Linked DNA regions of Nothobranchius furzeri. The protein of the gene in region 1 purifies or fractionates together with the protein of each later gene. This does not show direct contact. Links are inferred from orthologs where the notes say so. Each region holds a gene or a part of one and is shown on either strand. Other genes may lie near its edges. The genes, in order: ints6, ints11 and serine/threonine-protein phosphatase 2A catalytic subunit beta isoform.

What was found.
Region 2: the proteins of ints6 (region 1) and ints11 purify together in Homo sapiens (affinity purification with mass spectrometry; 3 studies listed by BioGRID, with this or other methods). This does not show direct contact. The link is inferred for Nothobranchius furzeri from reciprocal best matches to the Homo sapiens genes INTS6 and INTS11.
Region 3: the proteins of ints6 (region 1) and serine/threonine-protein phosphatase 2A catalytic subunit beta isoform purify together in Homo sapiens (affinity purification with mass spectrometry; 3 studies listed by BioGRID and IntAct, with this or other methods). This does not show direct contact. The link is inferred for Nothobranchius furzeri from reciprocal best matches to the Homo sapiens genes INTS6 and PPP2CB.

Annotation. Positions count from the first base shown.
Region 1 is NC_091754.1:31,095,566-31,099,322, forward strand, and holds the start of ints6 (integrator complex subunit 6), read left to right. Parts: upstream 1-1,580; 5' UTR 1,581-1,807; coding exon 1,808-1,918; intron 1,919-2,056; coding exon 2,057-2,134; intron 2,135-2,622; coding exon 2,623-2,772; intron 2,773-3,757. UniProt on the Homo sapiens protein: Component of the integrator complex, a multiprotein complex that terminates RNA polymerase II (Pol II) transcription in the promoter-proximal region of genes.
Region 2 is NC_091755.1:39,112,231-39,115,887, reverse strand, and holds part of ints11 (integrator complex subunit 11), read right to left. Parts: intron 1,760-3,657; coding exon 1,597-1,759; intron 1,500-1,596; coding exon 1,389-1,499; intron 1-1,388.
Region 3 is NC_091750.1:36,858,996-36,861,981, reverse strand, and holds part of serine/threonine-protein phosphatase 2A catalytic subunit beta isoform, read right to left. Parts: intron 2,755-2,986; coding exon 2,581-2,754; intron 2,462-2,580; coding exon 2,372-2,461; intron 1,546-2,371; coding exon 1,384-1,545; intron 1,036-1,383; coding exon 917-1,035; intron 1-916.

The DNA.
Region 1 (3,757 bases):
ACTATTTGTGTTAACATCAACACAATTATGGCCCATACACAATGTCAAATTAGATTAAAACCTGTCTGCAGTCACGTAAAAACAATGAAACAAGTAACAAGCAACAAGTACTTCCGGTCATGTTCGGTTGAGAATTTCGCAAAAAAGGATCAGTAATTTGTGCGTGCGTGTGATAACATTTTGCAAACGCTTGTATATTTTTCACAATGTTATTGCAAAATCTGGAAATCTAAGCAATATTACCCTCACTTTTTCCATTTCCAAACCACTTCCTCCTTAGTTGCAGGTTGGTGTTGTCTATCTCCAGCAGTCATTAGCTGTGGGGGAAACTCTGGTCTCAGTCCATCTTTTTCTACATCCATCACAAGAACACACAGGTAAACCACCAGTCCAACACACCCAGGAATACATTTTCAAATGCTAATCAACTAACATGCATATTTTAGGCCTACAGAAGGAAATAGTATTACCTGAAAGGCCACCGCCAGGATTTGAACCTACCTTCATGCTGTGAGGCAGCAGTGCTACCAAAATCGCTACCATGCAGACTGAAGAAAGAATTTTTGATGTCCTACCACAGGATTACTTTTATTTTGAAAAACGTGTCAGTAACAAACCGGATGAACTATGTGCAGTGCGATAGGACGACAAAAATAAGATAGACCATCCTTCCCTCTGCGATCACAGCCACTGGTTGGTTTCGTCTTGTTTTTGCGGAAGTGTTGATGTTTTTGATCGAGCTGCACTATCTCACTCAGTGTCATGTGGCATGAAAAGTGAACCATAAACAGGATGGTGACACTAATATATCTAGTAGTCTACAGATAATTGTTTATACATATAATCAACTTAAACAGCTCAAAAGTACACGCACAATGACTTATTTGGTGTCTTGATTTTTATATGTTAGTTCAAAAACTGTAAAAATAACCCTTCTGGTCGTTTTGTTAGTTAAAATCTTTTATATGATCATCACACAGTGTCATGATTTCAGTGTGTTGTTTTCCTTTTCTCTAAACAAATGGCTACCTTCCTTAAGTTATAATCTTACAACATCCATCTCAGCCTGTACTTTTTATTTTGTCTTTATGGGTTTCCATTCACACTGGCCCACGCCCGTGCATATATGAGGAAAATGTTGATTATGCAATCACTCCGCAGGGCAAAACACAAGGCTGTTGATAACTGGTGCTAAAGAAAAACAGCTGGGGTGTTCCAAAAAGGCTTTTCCTACCACATGTGTCGCGTTACTAAACACAAAATGTATGTGAATAATATTTTTCCCTGCATTCCTGTCATTTGGTTAAGCAAGCATGCGCACTAGAGAACTAGCTTTGGCCTTATTTGGATATGTTAATAAGTGGCTTCCTTCAACCAATCAAAAGCTGGGTTGATTGCACGTGACAGAAAAAGAGCGCTTAGGAGGCGGGGTCAGGTGCGGGGCTTCATTTAAAAGCAACGGAGAAGACACAACGCATTCAGTGTAGGGAGAAGCAGGGAGTCACTATGAGGGGGAACTTTGTTACTATGAAACTTAGGAATATTTACAATATATTGTAAAAATTATCAAAATCCATCGTAAATCATTAACCTGCCCCAAGGTTTCGAGGCTTTTAGCTTAGTTTTCCCGGAATGGGCTTCTATACTCACTATTCTTACACTTTTTTGAAAGAATGTGTGAGACAGTTAGCCAGCTAGCTAGCTAGCTGAGGGGTGAGACAGGCGGCAGGAGAACAAAAGATTTTTTTTGCGTTTTGGCCGGTTGTACTGACACCAAGTCCATGCAGAACGTGTCATTACCATCACAATGCCCGTTTTACTTTTTCTGATAGACACGTCCGCTTCAATGAACCAGCGCACCCATCTGGGCACTACCTATCTGGACATAGCAAAAGGCGCTGTTGAGACTTTTATGAAGGTACTGTGACCACGGGACACATTCATGTTGGGAGATCCCAAACGGGATTCTAGTTCGGATTATCGTTGTGCTGTTGCAAGTTCGCCTTGTCAAGCCGAGATCTCCCAGTAACCGTAAATCATTCTCTATTTTCCACAGCTCAGAGGGAGAGATCCGGCGAGCCGAGGGGACCGGTACATGCTGGTAAATTTTGAAGATGCTCCGTTCGGGATCAAGGTAGAATCTGCTTTCGGGTCATGTCCAGCTTTACATTGCGCAGATTGACTGTCCTCCATCTCCCCGCCGCCTTGTGATCAATTGTTGTAGAGAAAATCTCCAGGAGGAGCTTTCATACCCCTTTTAAAACATGGCCGACATTTTATTTCAGTGCGAGCAGCAAGGAACTCTGGGTGTTATTTATACAGAGAGGTGATATGAGAGAGGGAGGGAGGTGGAGGAGGAGGGGTGACGGACAACTAGACTACTTTAGCAGAGAGAAAATTGCCGCTTTTGTCCCGAACACGCTGCGACCGTGCCACATCGTCATGTGTGATCCGAGCTGGTGTCACACCAGCAGCAGAGAGGATCCAGGCTGCGGCGCTGATCTTCATCCCAGCTAAATATCATCATACTTCCACATTAAAGCTGGAAATAAGTTATTTAAAGTAGTTTAGTGACCAGAACAGTAGCTTTTATGAATCACGTGCTTTGTTTTGTCCATAAAGGCTGGGTGGAAGGAGAGCCACGCCACATTCATGACAGAGCTGAGGAACCTCCAAGCTACTGGACTCACCACTGTTGGACAGTCCCTGAGGACATCTTTTGATTTACTCAATCTCAATAGATTAGTGACTGGCATAGACAACTATGGACAGGTATGTAGTCCCCTGGAAATGTACTAAACGCACCCACAACAACCCCACTCCCCTGCCCCAGTCCTACAAGCATCTACTACCCAAACACACCCCTGCAGTCACACACAAACATAACTACCAAAGAAGCAGGGACCGATTATAAGTCCAGTGTTTCATGCTATAATTTTAAAATGTCTTTTTAGTCATAAAACTTAGATGCAGGTTGCAAAGAGGCTAATCTCATATGCACCAGATTATATTTCTGAAACAAAATCTAGCATAAGCCCATCTACTTCAGGACCACGGGGCCCCGGAAGAACGAGAAAATGAGTACAAGTCAATGAGGCTAAAAATGCTATTTTCTGATCCCGTATGGTTTTCACAAGACATCCGTGAAATTTAACATTTTGATGCCAAGAAAGCTCTTATTTTCAAACGAGGGCGAAAGTTATTTTAGGTCTTGTGTGAAACGTTCAGGACTACAAGTACGCATTACGAATTGACATCGAACCAGACATGAACAGAAAAAATGGCTGTACGTTCTGCGAATGTCAAATCCTTCTTTCAGGAGGAAAGAACTACTATAAATCTGGCCATGTGAGAAGTAGCAGCTACGCTAGGGGAGAGGATATTCTGTGATGACATCATATACGATATGCGGTGTACTGACGTCTGATCTGTAGTCCTAGTATTTACGATAAATCTCAAAACACGTGACAGGCGTGATCCAAACACATCAATACTTTTCATTGAAATACAACATATGTGCGATCCAGGGCGTAAAGCAAAGCGGATTAGAAAATAGCTCTTTAAGTCCCGTGGACTTGCGTTCTTTTTTTGTTTTGTTCTTCCGGGAACCCATGAGCCGACCGGAAAACTTAGACTCCATGTTGTTCTAAAAGTTAATATCTTCTGGCACATGGATGCTGAACTGCTATCAATTTGGAGAATTATTAGACTGAATCCAATTTAAAATAGCAGAAAACAAGTTTCATAATGAGTGTTA
Region 2 (3,657 bases), on another chromosome or scaffold:
CTGCGTAAGAGAAGGCACGCTCCCCCCGTGATTTGTACCGAACCTTTGGAACAACAAGCAGCAGATGATCTGCTGATCGAAGGGCACGGGTGGGAACATACGGGGTCAGCAGGTCCGTCAGAAAGGATGGGGATGGGCAGTAGAGCCTTGTAAACATATAACAAGACCTTGAAGTTAATCCTAAATTTGACTGGGAGCCAGTGTAAATCTGCAAGGACGGGTGTGATGTGCATGCGTCTGTCGGTGTTGGTTAAAAATCTCGCCGCTGCATTTTGAACCTTCTGCAGTCTGCTTAGGGCTGAGGCATTAATCCCAATCAGAACAGAATTCGCGTAATCCAGACGTGAAGTAATGAAAGCATGAATGACTGACCCAAGATCTGCGCGGTTGTTGTTGTTTTACTGTGAAATAATGATCGTTAAAACTTATATGCATATAAATAAATAAATAATTAAATAAATAAACACTTTTGTAAATAAATAAATTAAAAACAAAATTATATATAAATATTGTAGCGTCCCCACGGACACAATAACAGTCGGAGGCGCTCACTTATGCTTTAGTCTTTTTAATGACTCCAAAAGAGTTGCTGTTGGCCGCAACCACGCCGAACACAGGGAGAGCGAGACCAAAAAACCAACAACTCCTCCTCAGGGTTCGTATATATATATATATATATATATATATATATATATATATATATATATATATATATATATATAATGGTAAATGGCCTGTATTTGATATAGCGCCTTCTAGAGTCCTGGAACCCCCCAAGGCGCTTTACAACACAATCAGTCATTCACCCATTCACACACACATTCACACGCTGGTGGGGATGAGCTACGATGTAGCCACAGCTGCCCTGGGGCGCACTGACAAGAGGAGAGGCTGCCGAGCACTGGCGCCACCGGTCCCTCCGACCACCACCAGCAGGCAACGTGGGTTAAGTGTCTTGCCCAAGGACACAACGACAGCAACAGACTGAGCGGGACTTGAACCTGCAACCCTCCGATTACGGGGCGAGCACTTAACTCCTGTGCCACCGTCGCCCCACGATATATATATATATATATATGTGTGTGTGTGTGTGCTTTATAAGCAAAGCTGCCTTGCTTTGCCTAATAAAATAATACTACAGCAGCTCTTGCATGCCTGAAGCACATCAGAAGGGCCACATGCAACAGTCTGGATTTTAGTCGGTTGATCTTATCGTGACAACTAATCTGGGCCGCCGTACTGTACGGAGGTGTTAGGTTTTAAAAAAAAACTACTTCAATCAAAGCGAAGGAAATTCAAATGTCAGGTCAGACTAGAAGAAATGTGAAGAGAAACTTTGTTAGCAGGCTAAACTAAAACCACTGCCGACCACAAGGCAGGCAACGTACCTCCGAGAGCCATCTCCCTCTTCAGTAGGTTGAGCGACATGTCCACAGGAACGCTGGGGTTGGTCGTCACCATCGCTGTCTCTCCATTGGCCGGCATGTAACAGTCTATGCCTAAAATCAGACGTATTAACCAGGCTGGAAACTCCTCTCTGTTGATATACATAAAAACCAAAAATCCCAGGTCGCTGAAGGTCAGGACTACACTCACTGAACTCCTGCTCAATCTTGCCCTTAAGAAACTCCATCTTGGCGGCCTCCCCGTGCACGAGCAGCATGTTCCGAGGCTCCGCCATGCGGATGAGCTGCATGATGCCCTTGGCGTCTGCGTGTGCACTGAAGGACATGTACTCTACCTGCAGCTTCACGTCCAGCTGTTAACACAGAACATTCACATTCAGAGGGTTTTTACACATTTAAACAAGAGAGAAAAGTGTGAAAATGTTGAAAGCCTGTCTGAGAAAAGGGTATAAAGTGTGTAGTGAGGGGGTTTTACAGCCTTAAAATCTTGATGCGGCGCTCTGGGACGAGCACGTCTGCAGAAGAGAGGAGCACTGCGCCCCGGCTGGAGCGCATTGGTATTCAGGGCTGCTGTGTTTTTATATACAAGGGGAGGAGACACATGAGTCTCTACGACGTAACGACATGAAACAGAAACGATGAAGCGAGTGTGTGCAAATAAAACAGTTCACCCTTGCACACGTGCTGGGAACGGACATTTGCTGCGTTTTCGTGTATGTGACCCCAATATAACCATGTATGCTATGTAAGGTTATGAAGTTCATTATTTTCAGCTCCACACAGCTGCCCCCTGTGCACAGTTACACCCGTGTTGAAAACGCCAAGGTCGGGTGTTCCTCAGACTGTTTACATTCCAGGAGAAGAGTCCGAAGGAGAAGAAGAACGCTTTTCAATAATCAAAGTACTTAATTTGTGATTAAAGCTAATCGAAACAGATGTTGATCAATAACAATCAAGTGAATGATCTGTGAAATAAATATGTCATGATTTATGTTTAATGAAAACAGGACTATTGCACAGACAGACTGATCCTCATCTCCATAGAAACGCATGACACATTGTTCCAACCAATCAGAGCTTTCGGCTGCCGCAGGAGAATCTGGCTTGTTGACTTAAAGTATCCAATCCGCTTTACTAAAACTTTCAACAATTCAGAGATATAAAACAAGGCAACGCCATTTTTAAGGCAGTTCCATTTTGACTTCAGTTCTATTCACCGTCATCCTAAAGGAAAGCACAGACTGGCCAGATGTGTTTTCTTCTTTAAACTAAGAACTGTGAAGCTGGAGATTTTCGTCGTTTAACAACCAGACGACATCCTTTCAAAATAAGAGCACCTGCTGACGCCATCGATTGGTACCGGGGTCGACCCTCCAGACGGGCTTTGAAACGCTGCGACCGCTGCGCCGACAGCTCCAGCGCACATCCGAGGTCTCCAGACCTGGCATTTCCTGATCTACCTGGGAGGCCCCCACTGGGTACGTACACGGCAAAATAGCGGCTCATGTCATCACTTTATAAGCCTCGTGATATCTAGTCATAACAAAGACTACCAGATTCAATGACGTCAGCCTAAGGAGTCTGAACCAACCACACACACACACACACACACACCAACACAACATCCAAATCCATTTTCATCCATCACAGAGTTAGTCCTGGTAGATTGTTTAGAATTTATAATCAAGAAATTAAAGATTCTCAAACGATCCCATCTCTCTCTCTTTCCTTGTCTCAAAGTCAATACAGAGTGTTTAATTAAACTCCCTGATGATAAAAACAGCCTATTCTTCTGTTTATAAAAAGTGATCTACTTACAGTGTATTAAAATACAACTCTAGATAGTTTCGTCACTCTATTCCATTACAGCTACAAAAATGTAACTGACCACATCGCAGATTTTGCTTATTGCAGGTTATTTTTAGAACATAATGCTGTATTTGTTCTTTTTGAAATATGATCAATGACCGAGTTGCACATGCATGCTGAACGTGAAAAATTGGCTGCAGAAAGGAAATAAAGCAAGTCAGGCAAAGCCAGTCTCTTCCAAGTCACTAGGAAAATGAGTGTTCATGGCCCCGCCCACCTTGGCTTGTGACTATGGAAGGCTGTGACGATTGTGCGTCAAGAAAGAAGAGCAAGCCTTGGATGGAAGAAGCTAACCATTAGCAATAGCACCTCCAAAGCATGGCAGAACAAATTCAAGCATTTTGTTAGTTGAGATAAAACATCAGTGTTTTGTTTTTTACCC
Region 3 (2,986 bases), on another chromosome or scaffold:
TGTTGTGCACAGTTAACTCCGGTTGTAGCTAGGTAGCTACCTCCGTTAGCTTAGCTCCCACCTCCGCGTTAGCTTTGGGTTAGGTTGTAGCTAGTTCGACCGGGTGTCGTCAGTTGATCCCAGCCTTACAGCCCCACCCTCAGCTCCTCCTCTCTTCCCTTTTGTGGAATTGTCTGGGCTTGACGAAACCTGTGACACGGTCAAAATGGCGGTGGTGGCCACCTCCCATTTGTCCTCAAAAACGTGATATTGGAGCCTATGGAAACCCATTGTCCAATATTTATATGTTGATGGGGTCCACTGATTGTCTTTTCTTGTTAATTTTCTTTTTCCCTTTCCTCACATATTTTGCTTTTCTCATTTTCATGAATTTTTAATTTCTTTGTTTTTGATCATTTTTGTTCCTGAGCTAAGTTTTTATTTATTTATTTATTTATTTATTTGTAATATCGCCATCGCAGTATTAATCACTGTTATCGAATACCGCAGGTTTTCCCAATATCGTGCAGCCCTAGTTTAAACATTCCCAACAAACTAAAAGTCTGTACAGATTTTTTCTATTCAGAAACCGCTGTGGTGCCTTCAAGTACATCCTGTGAAACACAGATTCCATCACTACTGCCGGTTAAAACAGGAGTACGTTTTCCTTCACTCAGCATTTACTCCTGAAATCAGATGTGATCTAAAAACATGAAAGAACCTGAAACACTTACCTCAGTGGTGCCTTTTGTGTCATTTATCTCAGCTTTTACACGTTAAAGTCTAGCTGCCGTTTACAGAATCTGACTGAAGAACAAACCACTTCACTCGGCTAAAGTTTACCCCGACCCCGTCGGAATAAATCACGTTCATTCCAGCAGCGCCTCTCGGCCCTCGCGGCCTTTAAACCTGCAGGAAAGCCTTTTGTTTTACTTACAAAGAGTATTTCAGAGTGTCGTCCAGTTCCATGATGGCCGCCTGGTTTCCACAGCGATAGCAGTAGTTCGGAGCACTAAAGATGGTCACCACATTCTTGTCATGACCCCAGTTGTAGCCCTAAGAAACAGAAACCAGTCCAGTTAAAACCGGCCCCGGCTGACTGATGGGTCATGTGACCTACAGTGTCAGACAGGAAACAGGAAGTTGAGGCTTGTTTCTCAGAGCTCATTAATTATAAATAAACGTGCCCCTGATTTCAGAGTAAAAGAACTTAAAAGTCAGAACATTTAAAAAGATTAAAGCTTCAAATCTGGCGGATCTGAAAAAAAATAAATCCATCATGATACATTTGAACATATTTATAATAAAACCGGTTCATCTGCAACTAAAACACAAACATCAGTTGTCCAGTCTGACTGAAGGACACGCAGTGGACATCATGTCCTTCTGTTGCACGAGTTTTACCTCCATGACCAGCTGATGGGCGCGGGACACCAGCGTGAGGCCGTTGGCGTGGTTGAAGGTTTCAGAGATGTCCTGTCCGAAGGTGTAGCCGGCACCTCGGGGGGAGATGCCCCACCCACCGCGATCATCTGGGTCGGACCACAGCAGGTCACACATGGGACCCTGAGGGAGAGCAGACAGGAAGTCAGCGCTGAACAAAGGTCTTTGACTGAGATGGAGAAGATCTCCGGAGTCGGTTTTTAGAGCCTTCGTCTCCAAACCTCCTCCTGCTTTCAGATGGACTAGACCGATGTTGTGTTGTGTAAAAACAAGAGTGAGTTAACAAACGTCAGACTGTGCAGGGTATCTGCAGGTTTAAGGGAGCCAAATTTAAGACTTTTTAAGGCCAATTTGACCAAATTTAAGCTATTTATTAAAATTAAATTTAAGCTATAATTTCCAGCTATTGCCTGGAACTGGTGCTAACCACGCCACGATCGTGGGATTAGCCATCCAGTTACCATTAAACTTGCCCTTCCCCATGGCGCAAGCTCCCACTAGCTTAACCAGCTAATGTGCTCATCTAAAAATAGCCCCCTTTCACAACCAACTGCATGTGTACGGTTCCGCTTACGCCAACATCGTACACAAAAAATGCTGAAGACTAACTAGAAATTCTTGTTCATTGGGTCTTTGGTAATTTAAGACCTTTGAAAACTGTATTTAAGGATTATTTGTCATTTTTAAGGATTTTTAAGGCCTTAAATTTAGAAAAGCAAATTTAAGACTTTTTAAGGACCCGCGGATACCCTGCTGTGGTGAAACCTTGAGTCTTATTTTGACCGTGGGCTATCCTTTCTGTGCACCTTTAAGCGACTCAGGTTCATGTGGTTTTAGGTCAGACTCCCATCTGAAGCACACGTGGCCTCTGTGCTTCGGACTTCAGGCCCCTGAACATGGTGGGGTTCTGCGTTTGTGAGACTAGAAAGGTGCGTTCGTGTGTTCCTACCTCGTGTGGGACTTCTTGCAAGCGATCTAGAGCTCGTATGTGATCCAGAGTGTCTATGGAAGGAGACAAGCCTCCGTGGAGACAGAAGATCTGAAATAAAAACAAACAGGTTTGAATTTCCCTCCACTCTCATTTCTTACGTTCATTAACTCCATTCAACACGTGTGAAAAGAGTTAGATACAGACAACGCCCCCATTGGCCGTCCCACCTGTCCATCCACCAGCGCGGTGAGTGGCAGGTAGTCAAACAGGTCTGTGAAGTACTTCCACACGTTGGCGTTGCCGTATTTCCTCAGGCACTCATCGTAGAATCCGTACACCTGGGTGATCTGTCGAGACTCGTGGTTTCCTCGCAGGATGGTGATTCGCTCCGGGAAACGAACCTGAACACAGAGACAAGCACCCCGCTTTTATTGTGAAGGAGCCAAATGCTTGTCCTCATGAAATGTTTGACGCTGGAACAGATGACCTCCTGTAACCTTCTCCACCAGAAACTAAAGGCATTACTGTTTTGATCCCTCAATCCACAAGCTGAGAGCCTTAAACTGGAGCTAAAACCCAGAACATTGGCTCCATTCAGGTTGACATGACTCGACTCGTCCTGCTAACAGCCAA